Oryctolagus cuniculus: one gene and its partner. The protein of the gene in region 2 interacts with the protein of the main gene of each other region in a biochemical or structural test. Links are inferred from orthologs where the notes say so. Each region holds a gene or a part of one and is shown on either strand. Other genes may lie near its edges.

Region 1 (4,487 bases), on a different chromosome or scaffold from region 2:
CTCAAAAGCAGCATTGAGAAGAAATCCTTCATTAAGACAACAATCAAGATATACGATTTTAAAAGAAAGCTCAAGCTACTTTTATTTCAAAGAAATCATTACTAGGAATTTTATATCAAGGAAAAGTTGTTCAAATGAAGTTGTTCTGTTCATGGGACTTGTGGGTGCAACTCATTACAGAGAACACCAGGCAGTATAAGTTAAGACAACAAGGTCAGCCTCCTGTCCTGAGGTGACACCAAAATGCATAGATAGGTGGGAGTCCAGAAAGATCCCCTAAGTGTTAGATCCACACAATTGTGAAAAGGTGGCTACCTTGAGATTTCTCCCATGAACCTGAATTTTTTAAGTGATACCTTGCAGAGATTTTCTGAAAAGGCAGCATTCTAACTTCTCCATAAACATAATGCACTGACATGGTCTTCTTCCATCTCTTAACTGTACAATGTTATTTTAGCAAATTATCTGGGATTGGAAATTGAGCAGACAGGGTACTACCTCTGGTGTGAGAGGGCAGAGATGTTCTAGAAAGCCCCAAAAGTACTTAGCCAAGAACTTCCTTCTTTCTCCAAAACACCTAAGTCTAAAAAGATGGCTGCCACACGGTGTGGAATGTATGACATTTGTCATATTCCAGAATGTGATTACACTCATGGCTCCCAGAGTGAGCACAAATCCTGGCAATGTGCTACAACCATGAAAGGAGTAAGTGAAAGGTTTGCTTCTATTTATTCCTTCATTTGGATAGATAGAAAGTAGCTCTTCTGAAGTGTGCTACTTGCTGCTTCTACCATTACAGTTGTATTATTATTGTTATTTTAAGGATAGTATGAATAAGTATTAATACCACTGCACTTCTAATTTTTATGGAGAACTGATATTCCAATGACCATGTCATTAATAAAAATATGAGGACTGGCTGAAAAATCACATTATCCTTCCTCATCTCCCCATCCCAAACACATGCACACAATAATTCATTTTGAAGATAATAAGAACTACACAAAGTACTTCTAACTGTGCCATGCCTTTACTCGCAGAACCCCATGAGATGATTTGAGACACTAAGTCTGATATGGAGAAACAAAGTGGGGTTGACTTCTTAGGAGGACATTTCCTGTGACTTGTTATTGAAGTGGGGATCAGGAAAGGATAAACCTTGCACAAGGCACTGCACAAGAGGCAAGATAAGAATTGTCAGCTCCCTGGACAAACTACTCAAGCCAAGGACATTTTACAAAACACAGATGCCTTGGACCATGAAGATGTCTTTTTCTTAAAATGGGCTCTTTTTCCGTGTATAAGGGTTTCCCAAAATCAGCATGGTAATTGGCAGTGTGGACAGCAGTGCTGTGTGATCTTGAAAAAGTCACCGAACCTCTCTAAGTCTCAGATTCTCATCACTAAAATTAGAGGGAAGGGCTATGTTGCTTAAGTTCCTTCCCATCACTATGGCTCATGATACAATATATCAGGCCTATTCTTCTATTAATCTGGTTTCTAATATATCCCAAAACTTCTATCCCCACCCTTACCTAACAATGCCCCTTCACCCTTCCTATACCCCTGAAAACTGAACTTAATGACACTGTCTGCAGATTTGTCCCCTTAATGAAGGGCAGAGAGGTGACACAGGGCAGGGGCCTGTGGCAAGTAGCACCCTCTGTGTCATTGGAGACAGACTGGCAAGGCTTGCAGCCACTGCCTCCTTTGGTCCCCGCCCACATACACATTTCCCACTGCTTCCCAAAGCTATTTCAAGGAATCCCTGGCAATGAGAAGAGGCAACTGAGAAGACCACACAATCCACCTCTCCTCTGTCTGCACCATAGTACTTTGGCCTTCTAGTGCTATTCCCTTGGAGGCGATAGTCAAATACACTAAGAAACTGGAAAAACAGAATGAATTATTTCAAAACAGTCACCAGAAATTTAAAGCGTTCAACTTGTCAACAAAAACGCTCTCTCATTTTGCAAACTATTGGCAATTTGGGACTAGTAAGTAATCCAGCTAGTGAACCTATGCTATAGAAGAAATAAATACTAAGCTGATTGTTCTCACAAAAGGCAGACAAGCTGTGTTCATGGCTATAACAATCTACACACAGCACCTCATGCAACTCTCCATAGAGGCCTTGGATGCCTAACTCCCCTAGGAGAGAGGAAGTTGCATATCACTCAGTTAATTTACTCTCCTAGCATCTGAAAGCAATATATTAATTATCCAAATGCATAAATTACTTCAGAATATATATATATATATACACACACACACATATATATATATATATATATATGAATGTATGAACCTCCAGGAGGGAACCAAAAGAACCCACTTCCAAAGCACCACTGAAATGAAGATCAACACAATCCCTTGGGGCAAGGTAGCTGGGAAACTGAGAGGGAAAATTAGCTCTAGCATCTTTCTGTATCCCAGTGCTCCCCACCTGTTCTCCAGCTTACATAAGCTCTTAAAACTATTCCCTTTCATGAGCCTGAGGTGAGAGCTTTCTCTGGCTGCTATCCAGTTGGTAACTGCACAAAACAGCACACACATGAACTCTCTCTGGCTTTCCATGTCTGCACTACATGTTATACACTGTCTTTCACACATGCTGTGCTCTTCAATAGAAAATAATCTGGAAGAGGGAAATTTTAAACAAATTTAAGCACACTGAAAACATCACTGTATATCCACCTGGTAACAGTCCCAGTTTTGTACTAATGCAAACAACAGACTTCAGAACACATTCTGATGAGTCTGTCTTTAGAGGTACTTTCGGAGTATACCAGAATAGACTGAAGTTCATATGGTATTACTTAAGTACTATATTGTTCCAATAAAAAGTCCCTTTAGAAAACATACCCACCCCCCAACCCTTATCCTCACCCTAAAAATAAGAACAAACAAAAGGGGGAAATGATTAAAAGCATTGTTTCTGATAAACTCCAGCTCTTGATAAGGTCATTTAGATGAGATATTCCACCATCTCTGCTTCAGGCTCTTGTCCCAGGATCTGAAGGGGTGCTTTTCTTTCCAGAGTATTGGAGTGGAAAACAGGGCCATCTGAATGAAAATAAGGTGTTGAAGATACTTATAAGGATATTTAAAAAGCTCAATTTTCTAGAAACAGACAGCATTAGAGCCCTCGTGGAGGTAAGGGTAAATTGAGCCTTGAGTGCCACCCCCTCACCCCCATTTACTTCTACTGGGAAAATGGCTTCTACTCATGCCCATTCCTGTCTCAGTGGAAGAGAAATCATCTGTAGACCCTCTCCCCTCCTCTAATGGCTCCCCATTACAACATGAAGGGCTCAGTCCAGATGACCATCTCTGCCTGAGCAGCAGGTACCCACAAATCAACCTGCGTTTTGAGAGCCGTACCAAAAGCTCCCTGCTGTAGAGAATTATTACCTGTCTTATCTGAATTGCAAGTCAAACTTGGTATAGACAAACGACGTGATCCAGAACCAGTGGCTGGACTTGCAGGAGCCTCAGCCTGAGCCAAAGCTGGAGCTGGAGCTGGAGATGCAGGAGGAGCCACAGTCGGAGCAGGAGTTGGTGCCTGAGTCTGAGTCGGAGCAGAAGCCTGAGCCACTGCTGGGGCCAGAGCCGGGGCTGGAACTGGAGCTAGAACCGGAGCCGGAGCAGCTGGAGCAACCTGAACTGCAACAGCAGCAACAGCAGCAACAGGAGCAAGAGCAGCAGCAGGAGCAGCAGTGGCGGTGGTGGCAGAGGCAGCAGCTGGCATCTGAGCAGCAGCAGCTGGAGAAGCAGCAACAGTAAGAGCAGCAGCAGTTGCTGGAGATGGGGCAGCAGCAACAGCAGTGGCAGCTGGAGCAACAGCAGCAGCCGCGACTGGAGCAGCAGCTACCATGGTGTTGGTGTTGGTGGCAGCAGTGGCAGTGTTGGCAGTGATGGCAGCAGCAGTGGCGGCAGCAGCAACTGGAGCAGGAACAGAGATGGGAGTAACAGCTGCAGGCTTGTTGGGTTCCGGTCCACGTTCAGTTTGGGTGCTGCAGTCTCGGCTGCCTGTCTTGGAGTGAGCCGAGAGCAGGGGAGTGGAGGGGGGCACAGGCGAAGGTGTGGAAGGGACAGACTCAGCACGGTAGTCTCCACCCAGGAGAATGCCTGCAAATGAACAAGGGAGAGAGGTTAGGAAACAATACAGTATTCTAATCCATACATCTGATTATCTGTTTCTCTTCAGGACTTCAGGAGAAATTTGAGTGGGCCTAAATTCTTAACCTTTTTGCCTCCAGCAAACTCAGGAGTTGGCTTATCAGCATTTTCCACCATGGCTAATGGTTTCTTCTAGATTTGGAAGATCCCTGGTCCTCATTATCCAACTCCCAGCACAACACATTAAACAGTGAAGTGTTCTGAGTATCTGTTTTATTTTTCCCAATGGTGATTAGAAAGAATTCTTCCACTCGGTTCCACTTATAACCAACACCACACATTACCAGAGAGCTGGAAATGACCAG
Region 2 (5,533 bases):
ATGGAGATGGTGCAGGGCGAGTTTTGAGTTAAAGGTTAAGTCTGTTAAAAATTAAGTCTGAGTTAGGGTATTAAAATAACTATTTCAAGAATCCCTGCCATAAATAAGATAACAACCAGCTGGGTTTTTGCTGTTGTTGTTATCTTTTCAAATAGCAGGAGTCTAAGGAATGGGGTGAAATATACATTAGATTCAGGTTAGTTGTGACAGAGGACCCCTTTTGGAGGGGTTATGAGAATTCTTCACAAAGGCCCTGTGACATTCCAAGATCTAAAATGTAGCAAAAGTGAAACCCACTACCTTAAGGAAAGACACCTAACACACATCACACTATTTCTTTAGGGAGAAAAGGATGTCACTGCAGACTATAAAATAGAGTGACAGACAATTCCAAAATGATCAGGGGCCACCCCCACGCAAACAGGGGTCTGGGTGTGGACAGTGGAGGTGGCATGCCCAAGACAATACCTTTCTGGTAGTATTTGGAATTGTGAGTCCACCTGAACCCAGTGCAGAGGCCGAAATCTGTCAGTTTGATGTGACCATCCAGATCTATCAGAATGTTGTCAGGCTTGATGTCCCGGTGGATAAAGCCCATCTTGTGGACGCTCTCGATGGCCAACGTCAACTCTGCGATGTAGAACCGGGCCAGGTGCTCGGGGAAGACCTCCATGCGGATCAGCAGGCTCATCATGTCCCCGCCAGGGATGTAGTCCATCACAAAGTACAGGCTGTCTTTGTCTTGGAAGGAGTAGTAGAGTTTCACCACCCACTCGTTGTCGGCCTCAGCCAGGATGTCCCTCTCGGCCTTGACATGGGCCACCTGGTTCCGGTTCAGCACATCCTTCTTCCTCAGGGTCTTCATGGCGTACAGAGCGTGAGTGTCCACCTTACAAGCAAGGCACACTTCTCCAAAGGCACCGATGCCCAGGGTTTTGATTTTCACAAACATGGACTTGTCCATCTTGGCCCTCTTGAGCCTGTTGTAATTGGACTCCTTCTGGTAGAGGATCTTCCTCATCTGCTCCTGCTCAGCTTCGCACAGTCCAGCCTGTGTTGAAGGAAAGGGAGGAGGAGCCATGTTACAGGGGGTCCCAGCACAGCAAGCCACAGCAGGGGGTGGGCTGGGGGCTCCCCAGAACCGAGAGGGCTCTAACTTAATTCACACAAAACACCTTAGAATGGGCCTTATACACTACAAGCAAGATAATATTTGGCCTTCTCCTTTATAGCCACAGCCAGCCACAAATCTGGAATCCAAGGTAAGAAAAGAATAGTTCTTTCTCTGGGTGAGTTTAAGCTCCAGAAAGGAGGGGTGCTTCCATTAGGATGGGACCACAACATCCCTGAAACTCCAAGAGCAATCTAATATTTTAATAGCCCAGGGAAAAATGAGATGGCAGGAAAGAAAAGGTCAGTGAATGCTAGACAGCAGGAAGTAAGAGCACAGATTCGATTTTCAGAATTACTGGCCCTGTGTGACTTTAAAGTTAGTGTTCCATTTTAATTTGAATAATTTATTAATAATTAACCTTCTGTAGCACTCTAGTGCCAAACATTATTAGCTACTTAGGGCATACATGAATCACTACTAGATATATTTTTCCTTAAATTTATAAAAAACCCAAACCTTGTTTCTATTTTTCAAAGTGTTGTGTTACTATGCAAATTTTGATGGTTTCTTTTTTTAAAGGTTTATTCATTTATTTAAAAGGCAGAGCCAGAGGGACAACGTCTTCCATCTGCGGGTTCACTCCCCAAATGGCCGCAAGGGCCGGAGCTGAGCCAATCAGAAGCCACAAGGAGGAGTTTCTTCCTGGTCTCCATGAGGGTGCGCACTTGGGCCATCTTCCCCTACTTTCCCAGGCCATCGCAGAGCACTGGATCGGAAGTGGAGAAGCTGGGATTCAAACCTAATCCCACATGGGATGCCAGCACTGCAGAAGGAGGCTCTTCCCACTACCCCACAGCACCGGGCTCCTTGCTGAGTTTTTTAAAGAATAAGGACACACATGATAACCCTATTACGCACAGCCATCCCTCAGGAGAAAGGGGGTGGGAGAGGGAAGTAGCAACATCTGTGACTTCTCTAACACACCTGTGAGAAGGGTTAGTCTAAAGTGGGAGCAGAAAAGGGACCCTGCTGTTACCAACTGAGGGGCGCACGTGGGGCAAACGGACAGAAGAAGCGGGGAATTACTTTGGCCATCTCTTGCTCCAGCTGCATCCTCCGGTTCACCTTCTGCTGGTAGGTTTTTATGACATTCTCCACGTGCTGCTCCATGAAGAACTTAAAGGCATAAGGTGAGTAGCTTTTGATGCGCGACTCTCGCTTCTCCTCGTCTTTGCTGTTTTTGCGGACAGGGACGGGGGAAGTCTGGATCTGCTTTTTGTCCTTCCCGCATTTGTCCCCCTTTGCGCCCTTGTGGCTCTTGTCTGCCCTGTCGGCTGGCTCGGCGGCTGTGCCCCCTCGGAGGCTCTGCTCCACACCCGCACACAGGCCATCCAGGTCGTACTGCTCCGACTTGCTGGGCAGCAGCAGGTGCTTCGGGTAGGGTGGGGGCGGGCACCTGCGGTCGGGACTGCCCAACTCCAGATCCAGCGGGTAGGGGCTGCCGAGGGCCAGGGCGTGCTCGTCCTTAGCGTCCAGCCCGTCTGCGGTCGGGGCGGGCGCGGGCACCCAGGCCGGGTGGGACGGCCCCACCGCCGTCTGCGGTTCGGGCCTCAGCACCCGCACACTCTTCACAGGGTGCAGGATGTGCGCCGCCGTGACGGCCGTGACGGTGTTGGGAGCAGGCAGGGAGGGCTCGGCCTGGACGGGAGCGCTGGCCCGCGGCTGCTGGCTGTTGAAGGAGTTGGTCCTGCTGGGCGCGCGGCCGTCGGGCCGAAAGCTCGCGTGCGGCCGTGGCGCGTCCAGACCAGGCTTCTGCAGGGAGTCGCGGCGGGCCAGGGAGGTGGCCGGCCAAGCCTGCACAGGGGCGCCGCCCAGCTCGTACAGGTCTGCGTTGAGGCTGTTTCTGGAGGGGGCAAGCAGGCTCTGCGGGGGGCTGTCGCCTGCGAACATCTGGCCCCTGGCGCTCATCACGTGCAGCTGGTGGGCCGCGGGGCTGGCCTGCTTGTGGTGCGGGTGTGGGGCGTAGAGCGCGGCGCCTGGGGCTGGAAAGGCGAGGCCGGCGCCCGGCGGGCCCCCCTGGCCCTTGGCAGTCAGGCCCGGGTAGACCGCAGCCTCGGGCGACGCCTTGCTCTGGAAGGAGGGGCTGCGCTTCACGCCGTAGGCCAGCGGCTCCCCGGGCACCAGCAAGTGCGCGCGGCCATAGTGCGCGCCGGGCAGCGGCAGCGCGGGTCCCGCAGCGCCGGGGCCCGAGAAGTGCGGCCCCGCCGCCTCCACGCCCGCTGCTGCGTAGCCTTTGGGAGGGTGCGGGGGCCCCGGCACGCCGTGGGGCGCTGCCCCGGGGAAGAGGAAGTCCACGTAGGGCCGCGGCACCTCATCCAGCGTCGCGGGGCCCTCATAGGCCGCGCCGCCCAGCGGATGGTAGGGTGGGAACGCGTCACCTGTGCCTTCTAAGCTGGGCCTCCGCGTCACCGTCACCGGGGTAGGCACCAGGCCCTTTCCTGCAGGAGATGGAAAGACGGAATCAGTGGGCCCCAGCGCTCTGGGTCCCTACCTGGCAATGCCTCAGGGGGCCGAGAGCCTCACAGGGCCTTCATCCCAGGGGCTGCGTTGTGGACCAGTGGCCGCAAAAGTGGCCCAGTGCAGGGTTGGGCTGGAGTCCAGAGGGCACCGGGAAGGGGCAAGGCAGTCCGAGGGCAGTGTCCCAGTCCTGGGGCGGGGCAGGGCGGGGACGCTCGGACCAGCGGCCTCTTTGCCTTGCTGAATTGAGCTGGGGCTGCTGGGTTTACTGCCACATAGTTCAAATGCCCACTTTTCTTTTTCCTATTTTTGAAATTGAAGCTGTTCTGCCACCTCCTTTATTAAAACTATGAAGCACCCATAAAATCTCTACAAATAACCAGATGGGTTTCAGCTGCGACTTGCTTAATCCTGACCTCCCTGCTGTGCAAATCTCTCATTTGACACAGACACGGGGACGGAAGGGCAGAAGCTGCTCCCCTCTGTGCCAGCCCTGCTCTACCCTGCTTGCTTCTGCAAAGACCTGTGCTGGGTTGTGGGGAGACCCCTCCCGGGGGGAACAACAGGCAGAGCCAAGGCCCAGCCAGCGGACATGGTGGGGCACAGGCAAAGCGGAGCTGATCTGGCCTGCAGGGAGATGGGCAGGGGAGGACGCCCATCCCCCCAGACCCAACTGTAAGGATCACACACAGACGCCAGCCAGGGACTGGGTAAGGAAACTCCTGGTCTCCAGAGAACAGAAATGGTGTCCTCGTCACAGTGAGACACAGCCTTCAAGGCATGTGACACCTCCCACCACACCAAGTGTTCATTCCCATGACTCTTTTATCACACCCCAGGGACCGCAGGTGCCCCTGGGCCTCCTGAGGGCCTCTGAAGGGAAACCCAGCACTCGGACAAGGCCCACTATCCTGCAGCACTTGCCATTTGGCACCTGCTCTCAGGGGCTCCAGTGTGAAAAAAGGTGTGCTTTCAAATTAATGAACTAAACCCCCCCCCTTTTTTTTTTGACAGAGTGGACAGTGAGAGAGAGACAGAGAGAAAGGTCTTCCTTTGCCGTTGGTTCACCCTCCAATGGCTGCTGTGGCTGGCGCACTGCGCCAATCCGAAGCCAGGAGCCAGGTGCTTCTCCTGGTCTCCCATGGGGTGCAGGGCCCAAGGACCTGGGCCATCCTCCACTGAACTCCCTGGCCACAGCAGAAAGCTGGACTGGAAAAGGAACAACCAGGACAGAATCCGGTGCCCCGACCGGGACTAGACCCCGGGGTGCTGGCACCGCAGGCGGAGGATTAGCCTAGTGAGCCGTGGCGCCGGCCTAAACCTCTCTTTTCCAAGACTCTTCCACAGGCCCACAAGAAAGTAAAAGAACATTTTTATTCTTAGGTTGCTGTATTTTTAGATCTTTCAGGGAAAAAAACAAATTCCCCAGGGAAGAAGTACTTCAGGTACTTCAGATGAGGTGGGGTGGGGTGGGGTGGCCACCCGAGATCTGCTGCCTCTACCGGGGCATGGCCGGCTCAGCTCACCCACTACTGGAAGGAGGCGACTGGCCAACAGATGGCACTGACCAGGCCCAGCTGCACTTCTTTTGTGCTCCTGAGTCCCAAATCCTCCTCACCCCCTACACTGAGGTCTGGGCTCACCTGGGGAGGTCTGCTTAATCACTCGCACTATCTGCTCGTTCCTCGGGTCCAGGTAGCCCATCTTACTGATGTACTCCAGGGCGGCTTCTATACTCCTGCTGCCGGTCTGCTTGAGCGCTCTGCCCGCCATCTCCTGGAAGAGAAGCGCGGAGATGTGAGTGCACGCCATCGTCACTGCAGCACACAGCCACCGGCGGCTCCCATCCCCGACTCGGCCCGAGTGCCTGCCATCGTCACTGCAACACACAGCCACCGGCGG

What was found. The genes of interacting proteins can lie anywhere in the genome.
Region 1: of the proteins of LATS2 (region 2) and AMOT, one has a biochemical effect on the other in vitro, tested with the Homo sapiens proteins (3 studies listed by BioGRID). The link is inferred for Oryctolagus cuniculus from reciprocal best matches to the Homo sapiens genes LATS2 and AMOT.

Annotation. Positions count from the first base shown.
Region 1 is NC_091453.1:80,576,263-80,580,749, reverse strand, and holds part of AMOT (angiomotin), read right to left. Parts: intron 4,132-4,487; coding exon 3,415-4,131; intron 3,067-3,414; coding exon 2,969-3,066; 3' UTR 1-2,968.
Region 2 is NC_091440.1:91,908,594-91,914,126, forward strand, and holds part of LATS2 (serine/threonine-protein kinase LATS2), read right to left. Parts: intron 5,408-5,533; coding exon 5,275-5,407; intron 3,613-5,274; coding exon 2,201-3,612; intron 1,052-2,200; coding exon 469-1,051; intron 1-468. UniProt on the Homo sapiens protein: Negative regulator of YAP1 in the Hippo signaling pathway that plays a pivotal role in organ size control and tumor suppression by restricting proliferation and promoting apoptosis.